Linked DNA regions of Saccharomyces cerevisiae S288C. The protein of the gene in region 3 purifies or fractionates together with the protein of the main gene of each other region. This does not show direct contact. Each region holds a gene or a part of one and is shown on either strand. Other genes may lie near its edges. The genes, in order: SIT1, ENB1 and MTM1.

Region 1 (4,395 bases), on a different chromosome or scaffold from region 3:
TAAAAATTATGACGAACACACTCAATTATCAGGTAAACAGCACGTCGTTATAACTTCTTCACTAGTCTTCATCACCATGGGTATATCATTAACTACATGTAATTTAGGAGCATTATTTGAACTGATTGGGGCCACTACGGCATCGACTATGGCTTACATTTTGCCGCCATACACAAATTTGTTGTTAACTAGTAAGAAGAAGAGTTGGAAGGAAAGGCTTCCTTTCTATCTTTGTATATGCTTTGGTTTCATGATTATGATAATCAGCAGCACCCAAACTATTATTGATGCAGTTAATGGTTCTGATGGACAGCACTGCCAAATATAGGGTATTTTTTCTTTCTGCTGGGTTTTAAAAAACTAGTTTAGTTACCTCATTGGAACTCAAATATTTATCCACTTTGGATAGTATATACGTCAAATTCTTTTGGTATTTTATCGCCGAGAAGTCGGTAGAGCCAGCATCAGATGCAAAGCCATGCAAAGACTGATATAAAGACTGTTATACCAAATGTTATGATATGTTCTTGACTATGTAGTAGCTATATGTGCATGTATGAAATTATTTGGGTGAGATAATATTAATCTTTCCTATCTTTACTGCTTGTAAAGTGCGTAAAGAATTTATTTTTCAAAAAACTTTCTTCCTTTTCCTCAATTTCAAAGGTGTTTTTACTTTCCAAATGATCATTGCCTTCAAGAGCAATAGAATCTGTTAGTTTATGATTTCTCAACATGAATGCGCAACCTAACAAAGGAAAGCAGAATACCAAACCTATGATACATAAAATCTTTTGAACATAGCGGTAAGACATGACTAAAGCTATTCTTTCTGGTGTTCCCCAGGTATAAGTTGTAATGAATGTAAATGGAGAACCGTACGCTTGTGCAGCTAAGGTTGGATCGGAAATTCTTTTTGAAATTTCTTTGGGTAGGATATTAGTCCAGACAGCTCCGCTAACAGAACTACCAAATGCAGAACCAATATTATAAGTGGCAAGGTATAATGAGGTTACTACCGCCATTCTTGCATGAGTTTTAGCGGATGCTTGGATGGAAGCTTGAGTCACATAGGTAAATGAACCTGCACCGAAACCTAATAGACACAAAGAGCCAATGATACCGGAATGAGCACCGGAGTCACCACGGTAATGGACCAGCAAACCAAATGAGACGATCCAACAAGAAATGCCAAATATAATAAAAGGCTTAGTCCTTCTAACTTTAATCAGTATGAACCCGAGGATTGTACCAACGATAACAGAAACAAATGAATACAAGGAGGTAATTCTTGTAGCGGACTTTATGGATTCATGAACTGCAACGACTAGTACAGTATACATGTAATCACCTTGCATATACCAGTTAAAATTGATAAAGAATGCGATGAGTAGAGCGAAAAAGATACCTCTATCTTGAATCAAGTCCCAAGGTGTCAATGGATGTCTCGAGTACTTTATTTCCCATAGCATGTACAGTGGTAACACTACAACCCAACCAATGACTTCAGGGACAATAATATGCGCAGTTTTCCATTCCTCTTTCAAACCACCCGCTAAGGTGAATGGAACCAATACACACCCGAAAAATACAGTAATTAATAACATTCCAATGATATCCAATTTCCAAAATGCGATGTCTATACAAAAGGACTTCCACTTCAATTTGTTTAGCGCTTCGAACTCGGGCTTCAATCTATCTTTAGCATGCTTTCTTGCTAAATACCTCATGTGCAACATACAAATTCCAAGCGGAATACAAGCTAGCGGCAGTATAAAAGCCCACATACCAATACCCCATTTCCAATTAGCATCTATGGCACTTGTTACGTTCCCGCTAATCCAGGTGTTGATGATAAATGGTAAAGCTGGAATGAATAAGGCTAACAACCTCCAGTTCAAGTTGGAAAAGTCAGAAGCAATAACTTCCAAAATTAGAATAATACCGGTAAGACCCAATTGGTAAAAACAACCACCAACTGCAAATCTTGTAATATTCACCGCTTGCGACTCAATGATGGTCCCCATGCTATAAAAAATGATACTGACAATCATAATGGAAAATCTGCCGAAGATATCTGATAATCTGGCAAAGAAGATCTGGCCTACAGCCGCAATAACCGTCTTAATACAGTTGACGGTCGATAGCAGCGAGTGCTGGGAGTACGACGAAGTCGCGTACGCCTGGAAAGTGTAACGGATATTACCATCTAATCCGTAAGCATAGGCAATGAGGAAAAGTGAGAAGAATAATGCGACACGGTAGATCGGGCGGTTGTACATTTCTGCGTAAATCTCGATGTTATGCACACCTGGATCTATCAATTCAATGTAAGAAGGTGCTGGAGAAGATGTGGTTAGCGTTGGCTTGACATCGACCTTGGCTCCTACTTCCTTTTCCAGCATCTCGGGAACGACAACCTCTTCAAATTCCTCGGGGAGGGTATGATTAGCAATACCAGGGTCCATTATGGAAAAATTTTCGTACTGGGTCTTTAACAGTTCTTTTACAAAGCACTACGATGTTCTAGCCTCATCGGTGATGGACGGTGTCCATTGCTTATATAGTATCTGCAAATCATCGCATCACAAAAGTAAATTAAAGGATCACGGATGAGCACTACTAATTATGGCAAAAGACGAACCAGATTGCACCCTCAAATGTGTTCTTTACGGCACATTGTAAACGATGAACTTCGGGGTCTTCCCAGCAGATAAGTTTCTTAAAATGCACCTGGATTAAGCTGCAAGTCATTCTGTGCCTGCGCCGTACGGCGCTTGCGATTAAATCGGAGAACAAACTATGAAAAGCCAATAAGAAACTATTTCACTGGGAAAAAGTGGGAAAAAAGCTTCGCAAGTGAGCCTATAGAAGCTAGAGTTATCTCTATACACAGTAGTCTACATTACACAGCGGTTTCAGTATCCGTTTCTCTTGTAAAGAACCTTATCTGTCTTGTAAGCCACTTTGGTGTACAGCAACTGTGCGCGGTGATTGTAATGGTCTGTAACCCAGTACACTGCAGGCGTACCGAGCTCATCGGCACGGCTGTATACAAATTCTATGAGCTTTCTACCTACGCCTTTGACTCTTGCGCGTTCAGTGACATATAAGTCATTCATGTAGACAACTTCTTCGACATGCCACGACGTCAAATGGTTCAGGTAGTGTGCAAAGCCAATTGCATCGCCGGTCTCGGTGTCAAAGGCTAGAGCACCCCATAGTTTGACCGTAGGGTCTATAAACCTTGCGAAGGTAGTGGTGGCTACTTCCGGAGGCATAACCGTTTTTTGGAAACCCTGATACTCCTTCCACAGTTTGTTCCAGGCTTCCTCATCTTTTGGCTCGATGGCCTTCACCACAATTCGATCGTTAACCATTTTTTCCGGTTCTTCGTTTGACATGCCTACGTTCTTCGTGCTTGCAAAAGGTGGAGATGGGTCTGGGGTCTTTTTCATTAGTCTGCACTCATCTATTTTATATGCCCGTTTTCCGCTTTTAAATATCTTGTCGCAACACTCTCCAGTATACTGTTCGCGAAGGTTTCCGCCTGATAACGATTTAATAACCGGATTGGGAAATATACGATGCGGTCAATTGGTGAAAAAGGCCTTACGCAGAGTATGCAATGTACCGCCTGATCATCAGCTGATCGCTTCAGTGCGATCGATTGGATATGCTAGAGTAGCATTCGTGTTTTGTACGTGTACGTCTGAATGTCGGGATAATTTGCAGAGTGTGACAAGAACTTCAGGCCATCAAACAACAATTAGTCAACCATGCACAGATATACAGTCAACACGGAAGTGCTCGACCATTTTTGTCTCTGCTGTTATGCAAACGGGAACTATAACTTTCTTCTGGACGTTCCATTTCCCCATCCCCTTACAACGCATAGTAAACCAAAAGCAGCCACCGCCTCAATCCTACGTTTAATACAAAAGTGAAGAACTACAATGGTTTAATTCTACTAGACGGCATGCTAACCTGAAAAACTCAAGCATTTTTATCTTTTCAGTCGGTCGTAGCTCTCCAACGGTTGTTTTTTCACAGTATATACTTTTTCATATTATCAGGCGAAAGATACGAGAAAGCCAAAATCAGGCACATTGAAAGGATAAAGCCAAAATCAGGTATACTGAAAGGATGAAAATTTTGGCACTAGCCGTCGCCTTTCAAGGCTTGGCATTGGTATGCTGTACGGATACAACAGACAATTATAACAATTTTACGCATAATACATCGACATTTTACCGCATAGCGGATTATGATAAGAGATTTTGGAGCGTAAAACTACCACCAGTGAATTGGACTACTTGCGGTAATGAAGATCATCCATGGATTACTATCCACTACGACGAGATTGATAAACTCGTTGACGATAAACTGGCAAGT
Region 2 (4,348 bases), on a different chromosome or scaffold from region 3:
TCGGTCAATGTTTTCTTCATTCTTTCGAACTTTGAATATTTTTTATGACGTCAATTATAAGAAGTATGAAAGTCAGGTTAGCAACAGCTAAAACTAAATAATAAAGGGCTCAAGCAGGCTTACGGCAGGTGGTGATTATATTTACACTACTAATTTTTTTTAATTCGTTTACGCTCTAGTAAAAGTTCTTCGCAACATTTTTTTTTATATTTCTTTATAAAAACTACGGGAAATGACAGGTGCGAATAATCTCATTGATTTTTGTATTGTCAAGCCCATTTAAGACTATAATATTGCTGAAATAAACGTAACAAACGTATGGATATTCACTTAGTTAGAAAAGAAAAATAAAATAAAACTAATTCGAACTTTTTGTTGTTTTTTATTTCAGACAACAATATTATACTGTTACACGCCATTATTGATTACTACTTACATTAACAGTGATTATTTCAAAGAGAATTCTAGTTCAGGAAAGAGCTTAACACTATATTTGTATCGCTAGTACTCTCCAGCTCAATATCCAATTACACGACGGAGCCATGATTGTTGTTTGATTTTGAGCTTCTCTTTCTCTCGTTCTTCTGCGGAAAGACTTTGCTTCTTGTTTACAGTAAAGCCACGCAAGAAAAAACAGAGAACAGCATTGAAAGCCGCAAACGAAATGGACACAATTATCAATAAGCGTTGAATCTTCGAATAGGATTCTATCATCTGAACACGAACCTCTGATCCAATAGGGTATTTTTTTAGATAATTGAGTGGTGATTTGTAGATTGCCATCCCTAAACTAGAGCCGAGTCGCTGTATCAACTCCTTTGCCAGACGCTGAGTCCATATAGCACCAGCGATGGAAGCACCTACTGCGTCTCCGATTTGATAAACGGACATTAGTAACCCAGTGACAGTTGCCATCTCATTGTGGGTGGTTGAAGCGTGCACTAGCGTCCACATAGGAAAACGTATCATACCACCAGCTATACCGACCACAATCTCAGCGCCAATAAGACCCGAAATCCCGTCATATACCACCCTGTATTTGTACAAAAGACCCATTCCGATGACACCAAGAAGCGACCCAGCGACTACAAAGACTTTCGGATGAGGATAGAAATGCAGCATAATGCCGACAACAATATTAGTGCATGACTGTAGAAAATTGTAAAGCTGAGCTATCCGCTGCGCACTTAATGTTGATTCTCCGAATGCTACCATTAACACGGTGACCAAATACTCTAACTCAATCTGCAAACCTAGACGCCATACAAATTCCATTAGCAATGCAACGTAGATGGTTGGATCACCTAGATATACTCGTGGGATAAATGGATTCTTAGCAAATTTTAATTCCCAAATTAGAAAGATAAAACCTAAGCAGCCACCAACCACAATCATTGCAATAATGTGACCCTCTCTCCATTTGGAGGTGGCTCCACCAGCTATTGTGAGAGGTAATAATACTAAAACTAAGAAAGCAGTGAAAAGAATGACTCCAATTAAGTTTATGTCATCCGCAAATTTCCAGAGCGTTTGACGCAGGGTCTGTCCTTTTTCTTTCAATTTTAATGGTGGTAACTTACCGCTGCGCCAGGAAATGTACTGAGCATACACATAGGGAAGGACCAATATTAGGGTGGAGATGGGCACAATGATGCAAAAAATTCCATAGCCCCAACGCCATTTATATGGTGCAACATTACCAGCAACTGAGCTAACAATATTTCCACTTACCCATGTGTTTATAATCACGGGAATCAGAAATATGTTCATCGCAAATGTACGATCTCTCAATCCAGACAGATCACCAGTCAGTGCTGTAGCAAGAAGACGAAATCCAGAATAACCGAACTGTTGTATAACAATACCTGCAAAAAGTCCGGAAAACGTTGGAGTAGCAGCAGAAATAATTTCTCCAATAGTATAGAGCACAAGCGCAAAAATCCAGCATTCTATACGTCCAAACCGATCAGATATACGTGCGTATGGCACTGCGACAACAGAGGCTACTATTGATTTGACGGTATTGATCGATCCTACTTGAGAATGCTTTCCAAAACTGTTAGCGGCATAGGTTTGTATTGATTGCGAAATCTGCCCTCCGAGTCCAGTACAGTAACCCTGCAAAAACAGAGCCACCAGTAGGGCGGTCTTGAGTGAACTAAACGTAACTCCAAAAGCTGTGAAAGAGCTGTAGTCAGACAAGACCTTGTTGACAGCGTCTATACGGCGCAAGCCAGACGTGGTAGACTTCTCAACATTGCTATCTGTCTTTTCGCTGTAGCAGACAGTGCTTTTATCGTCTAAATTGTCATTCCTAGAGTGATCAGTTTCCAGCATTTTCAGAGAGACATTCACGAGCACTTTTTTGCTATATTAGAGTTCTGCTAGGACCCAAACCATCATTTCAATTAAATAAGTCATCTCTATTATCCAAACATAGACCCTTCGCCACTCAAAAGCCACAGAGGGGTGCAATTGTAAGCCGTGGCAGCCTCTATAATAGTATACATTTGTATCACATTTGGGTGCAATAATTTAAACAGATTTTTGCAGTTGACTCAGGACTAAGGGCAATTCTTGCCCAAACTACGGAACCCTGTTTCTGATCCGAAGGGCTTATAATCCATAGAAACCCTTACATTTGCTCACTGAAAACCCTGTGTCCTTATTTGGTATATATGATGCGAGGATTAAACGAAAACGGAAAATTTTAGGTTTGAGGGTCCCATTAGTTCAACTAAAAAAGAAAAACGAAAAAAAAAAAAAACAAAGTCAAACCATAAAAAGTTTTGAACTACAGAAAATGTAGGCTTGTCTATTCTCCTGAATTTGACTTTTTTTTTTTCTAACTTTTTCACACCCCTTCATTAACTAATTAAAACTGTCGTAGAATTTCCCTTCATTTTTATTCAGCCATCCTCAGTTAGGAACGATTGATACAGCCTTCATTCGTCATTTCGTGACTTGCATGTTGGATTGGAAAATTTGCTGGCGGAGCAAAGTCAAGACGTTCAGAGGGAATAGTAAATGAGATTGTACGAACCGGTGAATATATTTTGCTGGCTAGATTTTAAATGGCCATTGTGTTATTGCTCTATCAACATAAAAGAAAGTATATGTGTTTTCAGAATCGTAAAATTTGTGACAAACTAAAAATCAGTATCTTCATAAAAGTAGTAGAGACATTTCATAGGTACGTTCCGCCCTTAGATAAATGTGGCTGCAGTTCATAATGCAGTGTGTAGTAGAGATGATTCTGTTGATCATAAACAATAATATATAATTTCACTAGTACTTGTTCTTATATGCACATAACTCGCCGTATTATCTGGCCAAATGAGCTATAGAGTAACCCTTCTCTCAGCATTATTATAATACAATACCAATGCAAGGACATATGGAAAATGCTACACAAAACTATACTTTAGTGTATTACATAACTCATACCGCACTACCAGATATATGTCGTTACTATTTAAAGTGCGGTATGTAACATAGATAAAAATAAGTATATGTATATGTATAAAAATCTTGTCGTCACAATCATCAATCATTCAGATATGTAAATTCTGCCCTCCCATGGCTTCAATGTTCTGGAAGACGCATCAACTTCGCTTCTTGGGTAGTTTCCGAATTCCAACTTAAACGACGAGCTATTGTTTGGAATCGTGAAGTCAATCGAATCAGAGCTGAAGTTCAAAGCAGCAAACAATGTTTTGTTGTCGTATTTCTTTGTGAAGCTGAACAGTTTCTTATTGTCCAAATCAATAAACTCAAAATCATATCCATATACAGTAATATCCTTGTGTGCCTTTCTAAATCTCAAGGCCTCCTTCCAGAAGTTCAAAACCGAGTTGGGATCCTTGGATTCGTCTTCAGCGTTAATTCCTTCCCTGAAAGACTCGTTCAAGTAAAACCATGGTTTAGCATTAGGACCAGAAAAACCAGCATTTGGCTCCTCACGAGACCATTGCATAGGTGTTCTAGCATGGTCTCTGGAAATAAGGGCAATTGCTTCCAAAAACCTCTTCATCTCCTTCGAGTTTTCTCCATGCTCTTCCTTGATCGCATCATAGTTATTTCTAACTTCGACATCCTCGTATTTTTCGATAGGCCAGTTCTTGAAATTGATTTCACCCAGTTCCTGTCCTTGGTACACATATAGAGTACCGCTCAGTGACACCAACAACACAGACAACAACTTACCAGAAATAACACGGTTCTTAGGAGAATCGTCACCAAATCTGGTAATTGAACGAGGTTGGTCGTGATTTTCCAGATAAATTGTTGACCAACAATCAGTTCCGTTAACGTATCTGAAAAGTTCAGCAAGGGCAACCTTCCAATC
Region 3 (3,691 bases):
TGCCAGATCATACGGCTGGAAATTAAACAACCCAGCTATTGCTCTAATGTGGAGAGGTGGCTGTATAATCAGATCTGTGTTCTTAGCTGAGATTACGAAGGCTTATAGGGACGATCCAGATTTGGAAAATTTATTATTCAACGAGTTCTTCGCTTCTGCAGTTACTAAGGCCCAATCCGGTTGGAGAAGAACTATTGCCCTTGCTGCTACTTACGGTATTCCAACTCCAGCTTTCTCTACTGCTTTAGCGTTTTACGACGGCTATAGATCTGAGAGGCTACCAGCAAACTTGTTACAAGCGCAACGTGATTATTTTGGCGCTCATACATTTAGAATTTTACCTGAATGTGCTTCTGCCCATTTGCCAGTAGACAAGGATATTCATATCAATTGGACTGGGCACGGAGGTAATATATCTTCCTCAACCTACCAAGCTTAAGGAGTTAAAGGCAAAGTTTTCTTTTCTAGAGCCGTTCCCACAAATAATTATACGTATATGCTTCTTTTCGTTTACTATATATCTATATTTACAAGCCTTTATTCACTGATGCAATTTGTTTCCAAATACTTTTTTGGAGATCTCATAACTAGATATCATGATGGCGCAACTTGGGCGTATCTTAATTACTCTGGCTGCCAGGCCCGTGTAGAGGGCCGCAAGACCTTCTGTACGCCATATAGTCTCTAAGAACTTGAACATGTTTCTAGACCTATTGCCGCCTTTCGGATCGCTATTGTTCATCATGGATATTTGCCATCTCGTCTTACCGACATCAAAAGGGTGTGTGCATATAGCAGCTATCATCCCACTTATGCAACCACTGGCAAAACTGTTTATAAAATGGACCCAGTTTGCGTCCTTAGATGCAAATCGAGTAGAATCTAGCCATAGTCTTTCCTTGCAAAGTTCATAGGAACTCCAATATATTGCACTAAACGGAACGTCTCTCCACAGAGTGATCTCCAAACCTTTGAAGAGGGCCCGAGAAGGACCCACCATTTTCATTTCCTGCCTCGTTTCGTTTAATAAATCTTTAACCATCATCCATGTCTTTGTGGACTTTGATGATCTCGGTATACTTTGCAGTTTAGTTTTAACCAATTCTAAAGGTGCAATACTTGTTGCTGCAAATACCCTCGCAATTGCACCACAAAAGAGGGGGTTTAATGTTGGGTACGTCGAGGCTATAGGAGAAACGTCTCTTATATATTCATAACCACTAAAATAAACCATGTTGGCAGGAATAGCCATTAATAGGGTCAAAGAAATACCCCTCCACAAACTTGTAATACCTTCGACGCTGGCAATTTTCGTGAATGCTTCTAAAGTACCGTTGAACTTCAACGATGAATTTTTACAGTGCAGTTCTTGAAAACAAGCACTCTCCCAAAATATTTTTGCGTTGTTCAAGTTCTGTCCTCCGACGTTGGTGAATGTCTTCATTTTGGAGCCTGAGCTAACGGCGTTGGGCACTTCGGCAGCCCCATCACATGAACAGTCAGGAATCATCTGCTGCTGTTGCAGCCGTATTCTCACTACATCCATCGGTGTCAAAATCAAAGAAGTGAGTACTGATCCAGCACCGGCACTTAACATTCGTTCTTTTAAGGTCAGGCTGTTACTTGTATTGCGATCACTCATATCGTATTATCAACACCTCGTTTCCTTTCCTACGATACTTTATGGCTTTGGCTCATACGATTCCTGTGAAGTGAACTGGCACAAATATGAGGGTAGTGTGCCCCAATTCCAGAGGAGTGATCTTCCCGGAAATATGCAAAAATGACAGAATGTGTCTTATTCTCTAATTGCTATTCTGAGATCTTCAAGATGGCGAAAAATAACGTTGCGCGTGTTTGGGTGGGTGCCAAAAGTGTCATACCTCACCGACGCAAAGATACCAAAAGGACCGTATATATCTACTATTCCTGGATCGGTTGACTTTGTTAACATGCAGAAACAAAGGTAATGTTTATAAATAGTAAATCATACATAAGTATATGTTATTACATCTTTCTTTTCTTTAGTTTACCTGTTGCGGTTGAAATTCTCTTACTTGTATTGAGCTTCTTATCACCAGATATGTACTCCCTTGGAAAAAATTCATTAATCCTTTTTTGCTTCCCCTTCTTTTTGCGTTTATTAACATCTCTAATTAAGGGAATGAGAATTTCATCAGACTTTTCGTGTGGCCAACCTAGTTGAGTCTTCATGAATGAACGAAGCATATCGAGATCTGGTACCCCCCAAACAAACGGCGTGGTATCGTGATCGACTTCTGGTCTCATATACGCATCATAAACCATGACGCTAGGAAAATCATCATCTAAGATAATTTCGTTATTTACCAGTTTTTTTCTCAGGTCTTTTTCAAATTTATTTTCCGTTTCTTGCTTACGTTTATCAAACTGCCCATTATTATACCAGTCTTTAAAATTTTTTAGGTTTCCAAATTCTGCAATCACTTCAATGCTTGAAACGGGACCCATACCCTTCAATCCATTCGTGTAATCGCTCCCTAAAAGCTGTGCCAACTCAATCATATTCTTTCTATCCAAGCCCAATAATTTTAAAATAGATTCCGCATCATAAAATTCAACATAGTTCTTTTCGTGGAACATATTTTTGTAGATCTTTGTACCTCCAAATAGGAAAACATCACTGTCATCGGTAATTATACCATCGACAAGGTTTAGTTGTAACAATTCCGCACACTGTGCTTCAGCTTCCATAGGCGCAGTGATATAGGGGATTCCAAACCTCGATAGTAATTCTTGCACTTCTTTGATCATATCCATAGTTACCTCATCCGAATCTCTTTTATCCTTCATCTGTTGTTCGAATAATTCATCCTCCACAAAAGCGTTCTCGGCAACGTTTCTTTCAGCAGAAGTGGACAAAGTCGTGTTTTTAAATGTATCAAACTCTTCTTGTTCCTTTATCATATTTTCTACTATGTTATCTTCTTCATCTTCGGAGAAGTCATAGTCGAATATAAGAGGCTTTCTATGCTCCTTATTTATAGATTCGACTTTTCTACTATCGTTATCCTCTGCTTCTTTTGAAATCTGAGATTTAGTGGGAACGTCCTCAAATAGTTCTTCTGATAAAACTTCTAAGTCATCGTCCTTGTTTTCATCATTGGAGCTCTCTTTCTCGCTTTCTCTTTCTAATATTTCCGTAGCATTTAAGCCTGTCAAGAGTTCATAGCTACTCCCTTTATTGGTAGTTTCTGCTCCACTTTCTTGTTCATTTCTTACGTTTTTATCTTCCACGAAATTTGTTGTGTTATAGGGATTATACAACTGCTGGGAAGCAGTTGAAGAAAACCAGCTCGGCATTTCAGGAATTGGAGACTTTTCCTTCGTGGCTTCTTGGGACACATTACTCTCGGTATTCTTTTGAAAAAGCAGGGAATTTTCATTGTTAAAATCAAACTGTGGTATCTTGTGAGAAATAAAATTCAGGTTTTGCTCCCCCTCTGTTAAAATAGCCCCTTTATCCTCCTGCTGAGACGGTGGCCTAAACTCAGAAAGAACTGTCTTGCTGGTCCTTTTGATGACCGACTCTGATTTGCTATTCAAATTTGTGACATGATACGGTTGCTTACTATCCGGTTGTGCGCCAAGTAATCCATACTGTACTATTGGTGGACGAGCCTCTGTACCTTTTGACGTTACCGGCTTAGCG

The links.
Region 1: the proteins of MTM1 (region 3) and SIT1 purify together in Saccharomyces cerevisiae (affinity purification with mass spectrometry, with the first as the bait; one large-scale study listed by BioGRID). This does not show direct contact.
Region 2: the proteins of MTM1 (region 3) and ENB1 purify together in Saccharomyces cerevisiae (affinity purification with mass spectrometry, with the first as the bait; one large-scale study listed by BioGRID). This does not show direct contact.

Annotation. Positions count from the first base shown.
Region 1 is NC_001137.3:25,730-30,124, reverse strand, and holds SIT1 (siderophore transporter), read right to left. Parts: upstream 2,469-4,395; coding exon 582-2,468; downstream 1-581. Other genes in the region: AVT2 (Avt2p), read left to right, coding at 1-328; HPA3 (D-amino-acid N-acetyltransferase), read right to left, coding at 2,919-3,404; YEL067C (uncharacterized protein), read left to right, coding at 3,349-3,936; YEL068C (uncharacterized protein), read left to right, coding at 4,147-4,395. UniProt on the Saccharomyces cerevisiae protein: Involved in the transport of siderophore ferrioxamine B and so has a role in iron homeostasis.
Region 2 is NC_001147.6:18,975-23,322, forward strand, and holds ENB1 (Enb1p), read right to left. Parts: upstream 2,338-4,348; coding exon 517-2,337; downstream 1-516. Other genes in the region: oligo-1,6-glucosidase IMA2, read right to left, coding at 3,551-4,348.
Region 3 is NC_001139.9:1,005,664-1,009,354, forward strand, and holds MTM1 (Mtm1p), read right to left. Parts: upstream 1,643-3,691; coding exon 542-1,642; downstream 1-541. Other genes in the region: phosphogluconate dehydrogenase (decarboxylating) GND2, read left to right, coding at 1-439; ssDNA endodeoxyribonuclease RAD2, read right to left, coding at 2,008-3,691. UniProt on the Saccharomyces cerevisiae protein: Involved in the mitochondrial activation of SOD2 by specifically facilitating insertion of the essential manganese cofactor. Has the ability to activate iron regulon in an iron-dependent manner. Responds to calorie restriction (CR) strength.